Drosophila melanogaster: one gene and its partner. The gene in region 2 interacts genetically with the main gene of each other region. Each region holds a gene or a part of one and is shown on either strand. Other genes may lie near its edges.

Evidence for each region. A genetic interaction does not mean that the proteins touch.
Region 1: of Nf1 (region 2) and NAAT1, changing one suppresses a phenotype caused by changing the other (phenotypic suppression), as found in Drosophila melanogaster (one study listed by BioGRID).

What each region holds. Positions count from the first base shown.
Region 1 is NC_004354.4:5,407,410-5,414,949, forward strand, and holds the start of NAAT1 (nutrient amino acid transporter 1), read right to left. Parts: upstream 3,441-7,540; 5' UTR 3,158-3,440; coding exon 3,077-3,157; intron 519-3,076; coding exon 338-518; intron 284-337; coding exon 1-283. UniProt on the Drosophila melanogaster protein: Unusual broad substrate spectrum amino acid:sodium cotransporter that promotes absorption of the D isomers of essential amino acids. Neutral amino acids are the preferred substrates, especially methionine and phenylalanine.
Region 2 is NT_033777.3:25,977,073-25,984,612, reverse strand, and holds the start of Nf1 (neurofibromin 1), read right to left. Parts: upstream 1,601-7,540; 5' UTR 1,322-1,600; coding exon 1,265-1,321; intron 1,022-1,264; coding exon 878-1,021; intron 779-877; coding exon 394-778; intron 339-393; coding exon 197-338; intron 141-196; coding exon 1-140. Other genes in the region: fid (fire dancer), read right to left, coding at 3,316-6,468, 6,536-6,946.

The DNA.
Region 1 (7,540 bases), on a different chromosome or scaffold from region 2:
GATACGCCCGTAAGCAGATTGTCCACATACTCCTGCGGCCTCGAGTTCACGCAATTGGTCCACTCATCGCGACAGTAGGACCACGGCAATTCCGATTGGAAGGACACAAAGAGATAGTAGAGGGTCAGCGCCAACAGCGAGGAATAGTACGAGATGATGCAGATGGTGCCGAAGGCCTGGCCATAGCCCACGCCCACAAATCCCGGCACCACCGACCAAATCTTCACCGTTCCCTGGCTCGTGAACTGGCCCATGATCATCTCCAAATAGTACATGGGTTTGCCTGGAAAACCAAAAGTTTAGTATAACCAGTGATGGACGATGCCATGCATCGCACCGATCAGAAAGAGCACTATGATGTAGGGTATAAGGAAGGCGCCTCCTCCATTCTCATAGGCCGTGAACGGGAACCTCCAGACGTTGCCCAATCCCACGGACACCGATATGCAGGACATTAGAAACTCCAGGCCATTGCCCCAATTGGTGCGCTCCGCCGTCGGCTTCTCGGCATCTGTTTTCTGCAATGGAGCGGAATTTCCAATCTTGATGAGCAAATATGCGTGATATCGCAATTCGGGGAATATAAGATTTAATGCCAACAGCAAAATACCAGACACATGTCCAAATATTTGTGCATCCATCCAAGCCACGAGTCTGGGACTCATGGGCAAACACGATCGCGTCATGCGTGCGGCATTTCCAAATCCAATTGCAGATAACTACAATGGACATGTGAAACTAATGCGCCACAACCATAATTTGGAATATTTATCTTAGTGCGCCCAATTACGATTAGATTAGAATCACTTTGAAGTACACACTTAAGAAAGGCGCCCAGCTTATCGATCCCGCCATTAAGTAAGTAAGTAATTCAAGTACTATTCATGTGCAATGCAAACTATTCACCGATCGAGAATGAATCATATCGATAGCAAATTGAATATCTTTCAATGCGTTTTTAAATTGATTTAATATAGTCATTGCGGCTTTTTCCCGTGATTACCTCAGCTAAATTCAATTAATACTCGATTAAGGGAAAAGCAAAACTTAACTGCTGCACAACTTGGAAAAGTTCCCCGGCAAAATGCCTAATGGACTGGAATGGATTCTCATTCATAACGATTTACATTCAGGGAATGCATGCATGTCTTATCTTCAAATCAAGCTATAAAATTGTTTAAATAAATTAGTATGTTAATTATATAATTAATTCTAGTTGATGACTGAGTCACAATTTCAATGCCTAAATTGAAAAATTTCAACACAAATTACTTTCGTTCGTGAAAACATCTGTCGTTGATAATTGTAACGTGGGCAAATAAAAAAAAGGCACTTATTTTCAAGAATAGAAACGCCATAAAATGTTAAGATGTTTTTGGTTTTTCTTCTAATTTCAATTAAAAGGGCAGAAACAGTTGGGCAAATGAACAGATGATGTAGTTGTTGTTAAAATTCCCAAAAATTAATTTACATTACACTACTGCGTTCGAAAATTACTATTATTATTTGTAATAATATGATTGCCATTTGGCGAAATCTATTTCCATCTATTTGCACGACAGCCACAATTGTTTTTGTATTTTTTTTTTTGTTTTTTATCAGAGGGCTGACAACGCGGTAACTGTTTTGCCGCTTACATATTTGCTCATTCGGGGAAAAAGCTGTTTAAATAAAACAATAACTCAGCTGGCCGAGTGGGCGGGCAATTACGAACGAAGTTAAATGGCAAAGAAACTGCATCATCATAGATACATAGATATGTATCCGCCAGTACGGTATCTATGAAATAGCCGAAACCCATGTGTGTTTGCTTATCCCATTTTATCTGCAAAGCCAAAGGCTCTCATTACCTTTCCATTAAGAAATTTATATATATAGTATCTATATCTATACATAAATATCTACCAGCTGGCTGTTGAACCTCAAACAAACTCGCATAATTGTGGGGTTTTTTTTTCTGCGTGCTGGGAAAAATTCTATCTTGGGAATCGCCTTAATTGCATTTGCCATCAATAAAACCTATGCTGACCGCACTTTAATGAGGCTTTGTTTTGGTCTGTCAATGTCACTCTGTGCGGGGGGATAACCCTGTAATTTAAATCAACTATAAGTATAAATCTTAACGATCTGTGCAGCATCTGCATTTTGCATGCAAACAGGCTGAGTTCTAAGGGGAATTACCTATAACCATATTATAGATATATATTCATATATATGTATATATTTATAGAAACTAAAGTTTTTAATCACCCGCAAGAACCAATTCTATATATCTTCGTATCTTTGTAACTTTTTTTTTTTACAATACTTTCTCGGAAATGCTGTAATATATAATAGAGGGCTGCAAAGTGAACCTGTCACTCCACCGAGCACTCGCCTATATATATTATAGCTTCGTCATATGTTTATGGCTGCTGCAGTGAAAACTGGTTTCCAGCTCTTCGGCCATATAGCGAGTATAGTACAGTATAGTACGGTATAGTACGGTATAGTACACTATAGCCTATTATAGTATAGCTTTCGCTGATCTCGAGCCGTACGCTAAGTTATGGCCAGATAACTAACGTTTTCGGTTCATTCTTCGGCTGAAAATAGCTCTAAGATACATTTATGTGTCGCTGGGTATCGTAAAGCGTATAAGATATGCATGGAGTAACCGGCTGACAAAGTCTTTCACCCCACATTGGGGTGGACCGTAAATCGCATATTCGTTTGTCGGTCGATTGGCCTGCAATTAAGGTCTAACAGCCTTAATGATCATAAAGTCATTTGGCGATTGTAAAGCCAGAAACACTGAGCGAATTGCAAGGACGGTTGTGAAGAAGGGCCAATCAAAGCATAATTTCGGGGTAAAAGTCCATTGAAGTTTTATAAAGTTTATTGCATGGGAAATGTTTCTTCACAGTGTACATTGTGAAACTTTCATGCACCACACGGCGTATACTTAATGTTCCAACTGTTGAACACTGCCTTCTTCTAATCTGAATCGCTGGCCACTTGAGTTCTTCAAGTGCCACTCGAAAGCAATTCCATTAGGGATACTATTAATTGCCTGATTTCATGGTCTAACACTTACTTCCGTTGATGCAGCATTGGTGGCTCCATTTCCACTTCCATTTGAGCTGCCATTCGATGGCTGAACTCCTTTCAATTCCATTTTTCTAGCCACTTGTTAATTTTCCCGGTTAATGAAAACAGTTGACGGCTACTCGCGTTTTGCTTATTTAATTACTAATTATTTATTTTTTTTTTTTTTGTTAATAGTAATTAGCACATTGCATTTGGCCAGCCCTTGGTTACGGTTGGTTGGGTTAGCGTCCAACTGCAGTTTCAGGGTTTAGTTTTCTGTAATATTTTCGTAATTTGGGCTGTGGATTTTGGCTACTTGGCGGTGCTGGAGGCGCGCTTGTGGTGCCGTGAATGCCGCGGCTGGAACTGAGAATATTGCGAGTGCCGGCCGCTTTAAGAACCGCCAAAGTCAAGCAGCGTTTTGCCAGCGCTCAGCAGGTAATAAGCGTGAAATTATTCACACACATATAGCCGTATAGCCGTGCTTTGTAGAGAAAATCAGCGGTAGTACCTGACTGGCTGGTACCTAAGTGCCCAGTACCTAGTACCCAGTACCCAGTACCCAGTACGCAGTACCCAATCCCCAATCCCCAGCCCCCCAGTGCTCGATTAGGAATGGGGAAAACAAACTTCGGTTGCTCTTCGTTGGGCGATCGTTGATGATATCGGAGATTCCAGCGCTCGGATAAGGAAGTATCCGCCGAGAAGCTGAAGACATCAGCACGGCGTTTACCCAAAAATATAGTCTGCACTCGAAGAGAAAATGCTGCAAGATGTTATAAAACGAGTAAATAAGTCATTGGGTAAATGTTTTCCATTTGTGAATTATCTACCAGCGCTCCATTCAAATTACCCAATGCGATAAGCTGGGAATTCCACGTTACTTGATGAGCTGCCGCTGGATAAATTTATGAAGTGATCTTTTTCTCTGCGTGTAGGTAAGGAAATCCCGAACGTGAGCTCTTTTTTGCTGATTAACTCACGAAGATCGTTGATAGAACATAGAGAGCAGATACGGCGATAGGGGAACATAGATATAACTATATATGGGGATGCCAGGATCTTATCAACCCAAATCGATCATTGCGGCCAACATAGGCGGGGTCCACTGTACGACGCGGTGAGTGAAACACTTGGTACTTCGATAAAAACCGGCAGGCCAAAATGGTCAGCAGTAGTAAATAACTTCAGATAGACGGACCCGCCAGACCCAGACACAGTAAAAGCACTTTATGAACTTATCCGAACCGGCCGTGACTGGACATTTTCCACACTGATTAGGTGAAACCACCACGAAGTGACCAATCAATTGAAAAGGAAACGAAAACAGAACCGTAGACAAAACCAATTAGGAGTCGATAATCGCTGGGGTAATTAGGCTGGCTGGTACATATAGATTCGGAAGAATTCCACTCAATGGTCAATGAAAGTTTTACGATCCAAAGACCGCTTCTGACCAGTTTCACAGTTTCACAAGCAAATCTCTGGCCACCAACTCTGACGCAGAGTTCTCCACCTCCAGCTGCAAGTTCGATATCGCAATCGTTTTATATCCAAGAGATCGTCGTGCAGCCAACGAGCCAACCAGACGATCATCGAATAGTACATTAGTGCGGCAATCAAGGCTTTCTTTGATCGATTGCATGGAGGGAATCATGGGAATCGGATATTGGACATTATTGGGGGGATCGCAAACAATATGAAGCTAGCAACTTCCTTATCGCGGCCATCACGTCAATTCAGCTTTTCGGATAAGAACCTTACCCTGACACGGGTAAGTACATGAATTATAAAATTAGTTGGCACGTTTAGCCGGGCGGATCCATAAAAGTGGCGATATCACTTCCTGGGATAACGAACCACCCCCCCCCCCCCACAACGATCCAGATGAAACACCGTTTTTTTTACTTTTCAATAATATTTTATTTTAATGTACTTGCATTATATTTAGTTAATAACTAGATTTGTAAATTATTCTCACTTGAATGCGTCTATAAATTAAATCTTATTCGTAACTCTCGTCTCTCAGCATTACTAGATAAGAAAAAAAAATAGAAGTACCACACACTTACGATGATCTTTGAGGGAGGACTCTTCACTTCACGTCTCTTCTTCTCTTCTCGCTATCGACTAAGATTAGTTTCAATATGTGCTCTACATCATGTCTGTCGTGTTTGCATTATCTCTATGTCAGTTAATCAGTTATCAGTTAATCAGTTTATCAACAATTGTACAAGTGACAAATCTACAATGAATTCGATAGAACACCGAGAACGTTGACAACTCTGGTGCATGCAAAAATTGAAATCCTACTCCCTTCATCTAGTTGAATGCTTCATTTAAAAGTAACCAATAATATGTATTTAGTGTTCCATAGACTAAAATGTAGTTCGAATTTCCAAAGGCATTAAACGACATTATTAAAACGAGGAACCATTAAACGAATTTGCACTACAGTGTGTGGAGGGCAGCCCCTCCAAAAGTTGTTTTAGTTTAGGATAACAATTAGAATGAATTTGCTTTAATTATCAAGAAGGATCTAAAAACAAACAGCAAAAAAAGAGGTAATAATAATAATAGTTATAATAATAATAATAATAACGGTATAATGATAGCGTTAACTAGAATATTTGTAGACTACCGTTGAAGAAGAAAAAACACCTCCAAAGTCTTTCATGTTGACCAAATAGATGGATATTGTGTGGATCATCACTTGTACATTATATTATCTAAGTAATTTAATTATGACGATGACGACATGAGAACGATGACGACGACTTATTAAGCTGAATTGTGATTGAGCCTGAAATCTTTTTTTGAAACGATTTATAAATGTTTATATAGTAATTCCGTTGCTGCCGATCAATGTAAAATGTCAATGTAAAATACAATGAATGATACAGTGAAATAAAACTCTATTTTCAATCTCAACAAAATAAATATGATTAATTTCTTTGTTGATTTATTAGTGTGTGTTTGTGTGTTATATTGTGTTATCGATGTGTTGTTGATGCTGTTGTGGCTGTGCTACACTTAGAACAATTCTAGCTAATATTGCTGCTAGGCTAGACACCCAGAATTGGTAGCTTAAGCGATAAGTTTGCAACAATTCGCTTGCTTGCTTCTTCTTGTCGCTTCAAGAAGTTTCCTCTTCCATATACAAAAGAAGTTTGAAAGAAAGGCATTTTGAGGTTTTCACTCCTTCTTTTCAATAGGCTAGTTTTGGTAGCAACAATCATTGTTTCTCATTTGTTTTTGCATTTCTTTGTCTGTCGAAATGGATTTTATTTACAATGGGTTTGTTTTGGGGAAAAAGTAGCCATTTCTGTTTTTTTTTCTTTTTTTTTTGTTAATTATTGTGTTTGTTGTTTTGCTTGTTATGTTGGTTATGTTTAATGTTGGTTTGTTGTCTAACAATGGCACACACGCATATATAATTATGAAGAATTCGTAACGTCACTCTGTCTCTGCTTTTAAATGGTTTCTTTCTTTGTTAGGCATTCTGTGGCTTTAGTGCGGGTGTGAGTTATTTTTGGGTTGGGAATTTTGAATACATTTTCTGATTACAGTTTGAATACAAATTAACAAAAAAAAAAAAATGTATAATGCATGTAAATGTATGAACTCGTCGATTAGATATTATCAGTTGTTTAAAAAGGCCTAATATAATATTTACAGATCTCAGCAAATAGCAGCATAAAACTAAAGTTTTGTCAGGTTTTTCTCCATTCTTATCCAGAGTTTCTATGTTTCTGTGTTTCTGTTTTTCTGTATATCTGATGAACGCATGGTATTTTAGTTGGGTCTATTTAGTATGTTCTTTGTTTTTTTTTCGCATCTCGTTCTCGTTATAAAATCTATGTACATTATTTAGTAATGCCTACTTATAAACTGAGTATAGTAATATCTGCAGCTCCAGTCGATCCGTTGCATGCCCGCCCGCCCATGTGTTGCCATGTGGTCACAAAACGCATAACCCAGCTGATCCCTAACTTCCCCCTCCATTTTGGTATCCAATTCTGGACAGTCAACAAACAAACGTTTGTCTTGTTGTGTAATGTGTATGGGTTAGTGTGGTGTTAGGTGCTCTTACTCATATATGCGTGTGTGTGTGTGTGTGTGTGTGTGTGTATTTGGCGAGTGTGTGTTGTTTGTTATGTAATGATTAAGGGGCTCTCTCTGGGCTCAGTCGCAATCTAAACAACGTAACAAACGTTTCATTTTCTTTGTTTTGAGGCCTCTGCACTTGCCAGTTCTTTTGGAATCGGGCAATTGCTATTTGCTGTGTGCTACATGCTACATGCTAACTGCAAAAGCTGCTAACGAAATCCTTAATCCGAATCCGCATCTTGGAGCCTGTTGCGCAATACTCAAGCATTCCTTTTTTGTTGCACCGCCAAGTTGCTTGATTTGGGTTTGAGTGATTGTTGTTTAAGTTTGCTTTTAAGTTTTCATATAGTTCTTGGTTGCT
Region 2 (7,540 bases):
GCTGAAGTTCGTTAACAACAGCCTCAAGGCAAGAGGGATTCAATATCAGCAAGAGCATTTGAAGCGGCCAAACAAGAGTCTTGCTTTTCTTGTTTTCGGTTTTAAAGTACTCTACAAAGTCCATCAGGGGTTCCCAGCAGCTAAACGAAACAGGATCAATTAATGTGACTTTAAAAACGCTTGTAATTCCTCTTACGTTGATATATCTCGATTGGTTCCTCGTTGCAAGTCCTGGAACTCTTGTGGATGGTACTCGATCCAGTTCCAAATAGCCTTCTCCAGCGAGTAAAGCAAGATCAAAGGTGGAGCACGCTTCGATCGAAACTTTGTGATGGTTTCTGGAAACGTAAAACGTTGTTTAACCTTTCCGAAATATTAAAAAAGTTAGTTTACCTTGTAGCAGCTTGGTTAGCTTTATCATATCCATATCGATGTGTTGAATTAATTCTATGTCGTTGTAGTCCGGGTTTTCCTCGGAACAGGATGTCAGCTCTTGAATCCTGGCCGATATGCGATTGAACACCGCCGAGAAGTGATTCTGGGACAAGGCAAAGAGCACCTTGGATGCCAGGGCCTTGAGCTGGGCGGCATTCGGATTGCTGTCGCTCTGGACGTCGACAAACTGGGAGATCTCGCGCAGCAGAAGCTTCACATTCATGGCCTCTTCAAAACGTGCTGTGTCCTTGGTCTGGTTGGTCAGACAGCGTTCCAGAGTGGTCAGTATGATGACCAGCGACTCAAAGTAGCAACGCTCTGGCTCATGGCGATTTTGAAGGGCCTGCAATGAAATTTTTGTTTAAGTAATTTAATCGTATCCTAGCCCCATAAAATAAGGCAACATAGTTTAAGGGTTAACAATAGAGAATGGAGTACTTACCGCCTCATTGACCCTCTGCAGCATCTTGGTGAGACCGGATATGACAAGGGAGAAGCGGTAGCGCGATATGTGGATCAGACAGGCCACCAATTGGTCCTGGCTCATCCTGGCCTGCGTGCCATAGGCACCGATTCTGTTTGGCAGCTGAAAAAGTAAACCATTGATTGCTCAATTCCACTTCATTCATGCGGGAACCGGTGTTTTTGTTATTGTTGCTATCTCGCTCTCCCACGCATTTGATTGAGAGCTCACACTGACAGAGCGGGTGAGGCACGCACACTCGCAAGGTCGCTGTGAGCATGTGTGGGGGAGGAAGAGGCAGAGCAGCAGGTACATTTTTTCGCTTGCGAAAACGCAACTGCGGAAAAGCGATTGGAAAACACTTGCCTGATCCTCGAAACGTGCCAAAAGGGCGCTAGCCCACTCGCCTGGCTTCTGGGTCATCTTGTTGTGGTGTTTTAACAGTTGTTTATGCGTTTTTTACTGCATTTCAGCAACTAAATAGGGCAGCTTTTCGTTGAGCTTGGGGAGTGGCAATTGGTTGAGTGGCATCTTTGTTCGTTATCCTTGGTGTTTTTTTCAGTTCCTGAGACGTTCACTTCCTTCTCTTCCAACAATTTGGATGGTTTGGCTTTACAAAACGGGCACTGTTTCTTTTTTTATGGGAATTTTCTAAGGGCTTACAGGCTGTTATTTGGATGTTTATATTGTGTGTGTACCGCCTTCCATTTCTTTCACAATACCGAAACGCTTTTATAAGTGATAACAATTACATCCTATCGATATATCGCTTATTTTCAAATAGTGATGGCATCAGACCAACTAGTACTGAATTCATTAGGGTGACCATAAGCCACAAGTAAATGCGCGCGCTCACAGGAGCGTTTAAAAATTCCAAAAATATTTGGCCTTCATTTCGTTCTATCTCATTTGATGCTATTATTTTATATGGTCTAAGTGTTCCAATTAGAAATATAAATGATTTTTAAAACAGATTCAGTTCAGTAAGTATTATTAGTTTATTTAATGTTGTTGTTAATGCATTACAAATTATCAATATTAAATATTTCAGATGGTTTTGTAGCTTGGGTTTTGAGTTAATTCCGTTTGAGTGTGCCTGTTTGGCTCTGTGCAAATTATACATATTTTCCAGCAATACTTAATGTTTATAATGTTTCAGCATTTCGAGCAGTAATAGGTTCAAATCGAGTTCTATCTGTTGTAATTTAGTGTTGCGTCCAACGTTAGTTAATATTTATTCAATTGTTCTATTATTTTACGGTATAAAGTTAGTTTAGCTAGCTAAAAAACACATGTACAGTCGCATATAGGTATATATATGTATATATTTGGTTTTATTGAAAATGTTTGCGTTATTTTTCAAATAACCCTTCTTAAGCTGACAAAAATTTGAGTTTAGGCATAGGCTTATGTTACAATCGTCTTATTGGCCGTTTTTGGGAAGTGAGTTGGGTACTTTATCCAATCAATTAAAGTAAATAAAAAAGTGCTTTAAAAAGGTGAAAAATTTATATATGTGGAAAATTGTGAGCTTGCGGAAAGAGTTTCTTAAACTGTTTTGTGTATATATTTTTGATTTTACTTTGCATTCGATATATGTACGGTTTTCTCATAGATTTAAATGCAGTTATTGATATTTTTAGAGGGTTCTATTAACTTTGCAGTTTTAAGGAGTGTATACATGCACGTACATAGTTGCTATATTACTTTGTTCTAGCTGCTTAACTGGTATCTTGATTTTCTCTTGTATAAGTGGTATATGTTGGCTGCAATGGACGTTTGATGATTATTCGCTTCGAAATTATAGCATAAAGTGCTTGAAACTTAGTCTGCAGATAGCGCAAGATACAAACAGATGATCGTTGTAAATAGAATATGCTCGTATAACTAGTAAGATTTGTATTTAGCTTGCGTTGTTTCGTTATCGCATTCGATTCGATTGGTTTCGTTCTTACAGCTAAGTTTTCCTTTGAAATTGGATTTCAATGCAGTGCAATCCTGCGTTCGCGTCCTTGAGCAGGCCTGCTAACAATAAATTAGTGCTGGATAGCAGGACGGGCCTTCCCCGCCCCGCACCGCCAGCCGACTAGAGTAATAGACTAAATTTAACAATTCCTTTGGGGGCATCAGATCAGAGACTACAGCTAGGAAATGGGCATTTGTTTTAGATCAGGGATTCAAACGGGTAAACGGGTACGCCTTGAAAAAATCAAAAAAGCTGCTTGGATTTTGAATGTCCTAAAAAGATATTCAAGTGTTTTTGTAGAGCAACTTAAAATGTATTAGATGCGTATAAAAAAATGTAATTCAAAGTAATTTAACGTATATCCTTTAAATATTTGGTATACATGCTTCGGTCCCAGTAATAGCAAATAAACTTAAGTTTCGTTTCGAATCCCCGTTTGAGAGTTGGGTGCTTAGATGGTCCACACCTGAACCTTCTCGGCCACCACACACCAGCTGGCCCGCTCGTAGTAGGAGCTAACGATGTGCAGGCTGGCCACATGGTGGTTGATCAGTGCGTCCAGCTCGCCCTCGCGGAACACATGGTAGTAGCGGTGGTGTGTGCTGGCTCCGCCCTGGGAGGGGCTGTCCAGGGAGTTGGTGGAGCTGTTCGAGTGCTCCAGGGAATCGTTGGAGGGACGCTGCTGGAGATTCGGTGCCTGGTTTGGCTCCTTCTGAGGTTGCTGCTGCTGCTGCTGGGTCGTCGGTGGTTGGACCTTCAGGGCAGCCATGTTGCGCCTGCGCTGGCCATAGTCCGACATGCCTTCGCCCAACTGATCACCGCCTCGGGCCTCCAGAGCCTCTGCCTCTGCATCCTCATCCTGTTCCTCCTGCTCCTCCTCCTCTGGTATGACATCGTCTTCATCCTCGCGCACATCACTATCCCCATCGTCCTGCAGCAGGTAGGCTGTCTCCGGATTCAGCTGATAGTGTCGATTCCTCTTGTAGTTGAACTTGGAGATCTTGCAGTGCTCATAAACGCCCAGGGAGTAGCTGGACTCGTTCTCCTCCTCCTCCTCTTCCTCACCATCCTCTTCCTGGATGGTGAAGCTGCGGGTTTGGGAGGATAGTGATGAGGTCGATGAGCTCACCGGGGATTGCTGCAGACTTGGCTGCGTGGAGAGGTTAGCAAGCATCAAGCGACGTTCCCTGAGCTCATCCCGGAAAGCACTCAGATCACCATTAGAGCGCTTCTTACCGCCACCCAAGATCTCGGACAGATCGCCCATTCCGATCCCATCCAGATACCGGCACTCAGTTCGATTTGTTTTGTCATCCAGTTCCCGCTGCAGTTGGGCACTCAGCTGTTCCGCGAATTCTGCGCAGTCCTGCTTTTGAACGGCCTCCCTCTTTTCGGGGAGGAGAGGGGCACTATCTGCATTCAGGATTATATCATCTTCGGCATGGGAGCGAGAACTATTGATCTGAAGCTCCCCTTTATGGTACTGCTCCTGCTGCAGACTGATGAGCTGCGCCAAGCTGGGTTCTCCTTCGTCCTGCGAGGCCGAATTGGAGTTCGCGGAGGCGGCTTCTCCTTCCTCACTTCCCGAGGGTACTTTGGCCGATCTTGGTGCACTTATAACGCTGTCTATGGAATCAGGGGAGGAGGGCTCACTGGAATCGCTGTCCAGATCATCGGTGGCTGGATTAAAGAGCTCCAGGGAGAGCAGCTTGGTAGCCAGCGATGTGGTGGATGCTGAAGTAGACACGCCCGATCCCGAAGCTCGCCTAACGATGGGAAAGCTCTGACGTTGTAGCTGTAGAGATTGCTGTTTCCGGAATTTCGGAATGGGTGGCAGATCTCTAATGGCCTGGCGGGTGATTCTACGTACAGGTGGCGATTCCTTCAGTGGTTCCTTTGGCAGCACCTTCAACGGCTCCTTTTTCTCCTTGGGTAGCTCCTTTTGCAGATCAACGTGCTGTTCCTTTTGCAGCTTGATGTGGGCCTCATCGAAGCTGAAACGAGCGGGTTTCGAGGGTGGCGTCAAGATGGCCATGGCAGCGGAAACGGCCGATGTGGATTGAGGCGGAGAAGTCACCGTGCCCTGGATGGCAGCCGGGGAATGAGCCGGAGTGGGAGGGCAGGGCATGATGAGCGGCGACGTTGGCACTGAGTGAGTAGGCGGCAATCGGGAGCCGGGATTCACCCCCTGATCCCGACCAGCAGCTCCCTGCGCCCTTTGTCCATTGCTGGAGGATGAATTGCTCGAGCTGGAGTTAGAGTTCTGGTGTTGCTGCTGGTAGTTCAACTGCTGCTGGTGCTGCTCCGGCTTGGGTATGAATATGACCGAAGCGAAGCTGTCCTCGGACTCAATACTTGTGTCCGATTGCAGGCTGCTGTCCTTGGAGGAGTCGGAACCGGATTCCCGGGAATGCCTTCTAGCCTTGTCACCCTGACCGCCATCCGCACAGGCGGGACACTCTTGCTGGTACTGGCTGCAGTGACAGAGATTGCTCATGGTGCACTCCACACTGCTGCAGTACGTCACAGGTGCCGAAGTCGAGGATGCGGGCAGAATTAAGTGCGACAGGTGATGAACAGGATGGTGGTGGTGGTGATGGTGGTGTTGATGAGCCGTCGCCGCCACTCCCTGCTTATTGTTATTATTCAGCGTGGCGTTTTTATCCAGTTGAACTGGATGCTGGGCAGGATTCGTCTGCGCCTGCGGTCCACTCTTGATGTTTTGGATCAGTTTACTTATGCCCGTCTTTGTCACCCTTTCTAGGCTGCCTGTCGAGCTCTTGATTTTGGTGGTGAAACCCTCACGGATTACCTGCAATCTTTTGGAGAACAGAGCTGATCTGCAGAGGAATGCTTCATTTAGCGAGGTTTGCTTTTGAATACGCTTGCGCACCCTCTCCTTTTCTCTCAATCGATTGCAGGCCATCAGATCCTCGTTAAGGGAACTTTGTTTGCGCAGGAACGTCGGCCCACCAGTGGGTCCGCCAGTTACTCCTCCTTCACCAGAATCACCCGAAGGAGGCGTGGCCGTCGCTGAGGCATGCTGATGGAAATTCCCGGCATAGCAGCCACTCTTTGTGTACAAACTGCTGCTTACCACGCCATTGGAGCCATTCAGGCTACTTACCACCTGAAAGGATTCGGGGGCGGGTGGAGTGGCAGCGTCATCATCGCACAAGGACTGCTTCTGCTTGATGAGCTTTGGTCTTCTGCTCAACGTATTCCCAGCACTTGCCGTGGTGGTGGGTGAATGTCTTCCATTCAGTTGGAGTTGCAGCTGAAGCTGCTGACTCTCCGGATTATTGAGTAGCAGAGCCGCGGCACTGGCTTTAGATTCACCAGGAATCAGAGGACCACCCAGACTGGGAACACTGGAGCGTGAGCGGACAATCTGGCGGGGTGGTGGCTGCAGAATGCTACCCAAACTGCGTGATTTGAGGCCGGCTGATAATGGCGGATCGGGAAAATCCTCAAAGTCCTCCAGGCGACGCAGCTCGATGGGCAGATCCTTGGCATCTTCGTAGTCCAAGCTGCTGTCGTTCTTGGTATCCTTTGACGACCACGAGTCCATGAACCACGCATGCCGGCGTCCACGGGCTAGTTTCTATGGTTTAAGAACATAATAATAATTACAAAATTATCAATTATGAGCGACAGAATCTTTGGTTTACCTGAATGGCCCGGCGAACAAAGCTGTAACAGGATTCCCCCGGCGAAGACGAACTAAGACTTGAGCTATCGCCATCTCCGGCCGATCGACTGGAATTCGTAGAGTCCTCGGTGTAGGCATGGTAAGGCGGCTGGAAATTGTCGTCGTCCTCCTCATCCGAGTAGGAGTAGTTTCGATTCTTTGGTGGCTGCCAGGGTATCAGCACATCCTGCGACTCGAAGCGTCGATGTCGTTGTTCCAGCGCCCACACGGTGATCACAACCCGACCACCGATCCTTAGGATCCTAGCCAATTCCCTGAGTGCCTGGACACGTCGCTCGGTAGTGGCAAAGTGGTGCACCACCGCCAGCGACAACACCGCATCGAAACTGTCGTCCCGGAAAGGCAGTTCCAGATTGTCGCACAGTGCCACCTGGAAAACATAACAATAAGGAGGTTTTCATTAACGCACATTATTCTTTGATATTAGCATTATTGGCATATTTAGTTTTCTCATGATTTTAATAATTTGATTGATTTTTGCGGACATAATGATTTCCCCAGGTGGTAGCCCAACACCACGAAACCAGCGATCCCCAGGGAAGCCATGCCAATTAAGCTGTGTCAAAGATAAGTCCTCGCAGGAGTCTCTTTGTGGGGTCAGAGCTGCCGACATCGTGCTCTTGTCGTTGAAATCGAGTCCTTGCCAGAAACCTCCCACGGGTGCTGCCCGCAAAAGTATGCTATTGAAATAGTGTAAGCTGCAGTAAGCAAAAGGAGATGATGCAATTTCAAGCTCCGGACAGGACCATCAATCGCCTTTGAGAAAGTTGAGCATTCAGGATAGATGGCAAGAAATAGAAAATTTCCATTTCAAAGCGATGCAACCTGATTGAATAATCCACAAGCAGTATCCCTTTCGGTTGGCTACATCATTTGGCAATTAGTAACTTTTCCTCGCTGGAAAAACAAAGTTATCTATGTGGGCGGCTGATTGCAAGTTGGCTTCGACCATTTGTCATTCAAA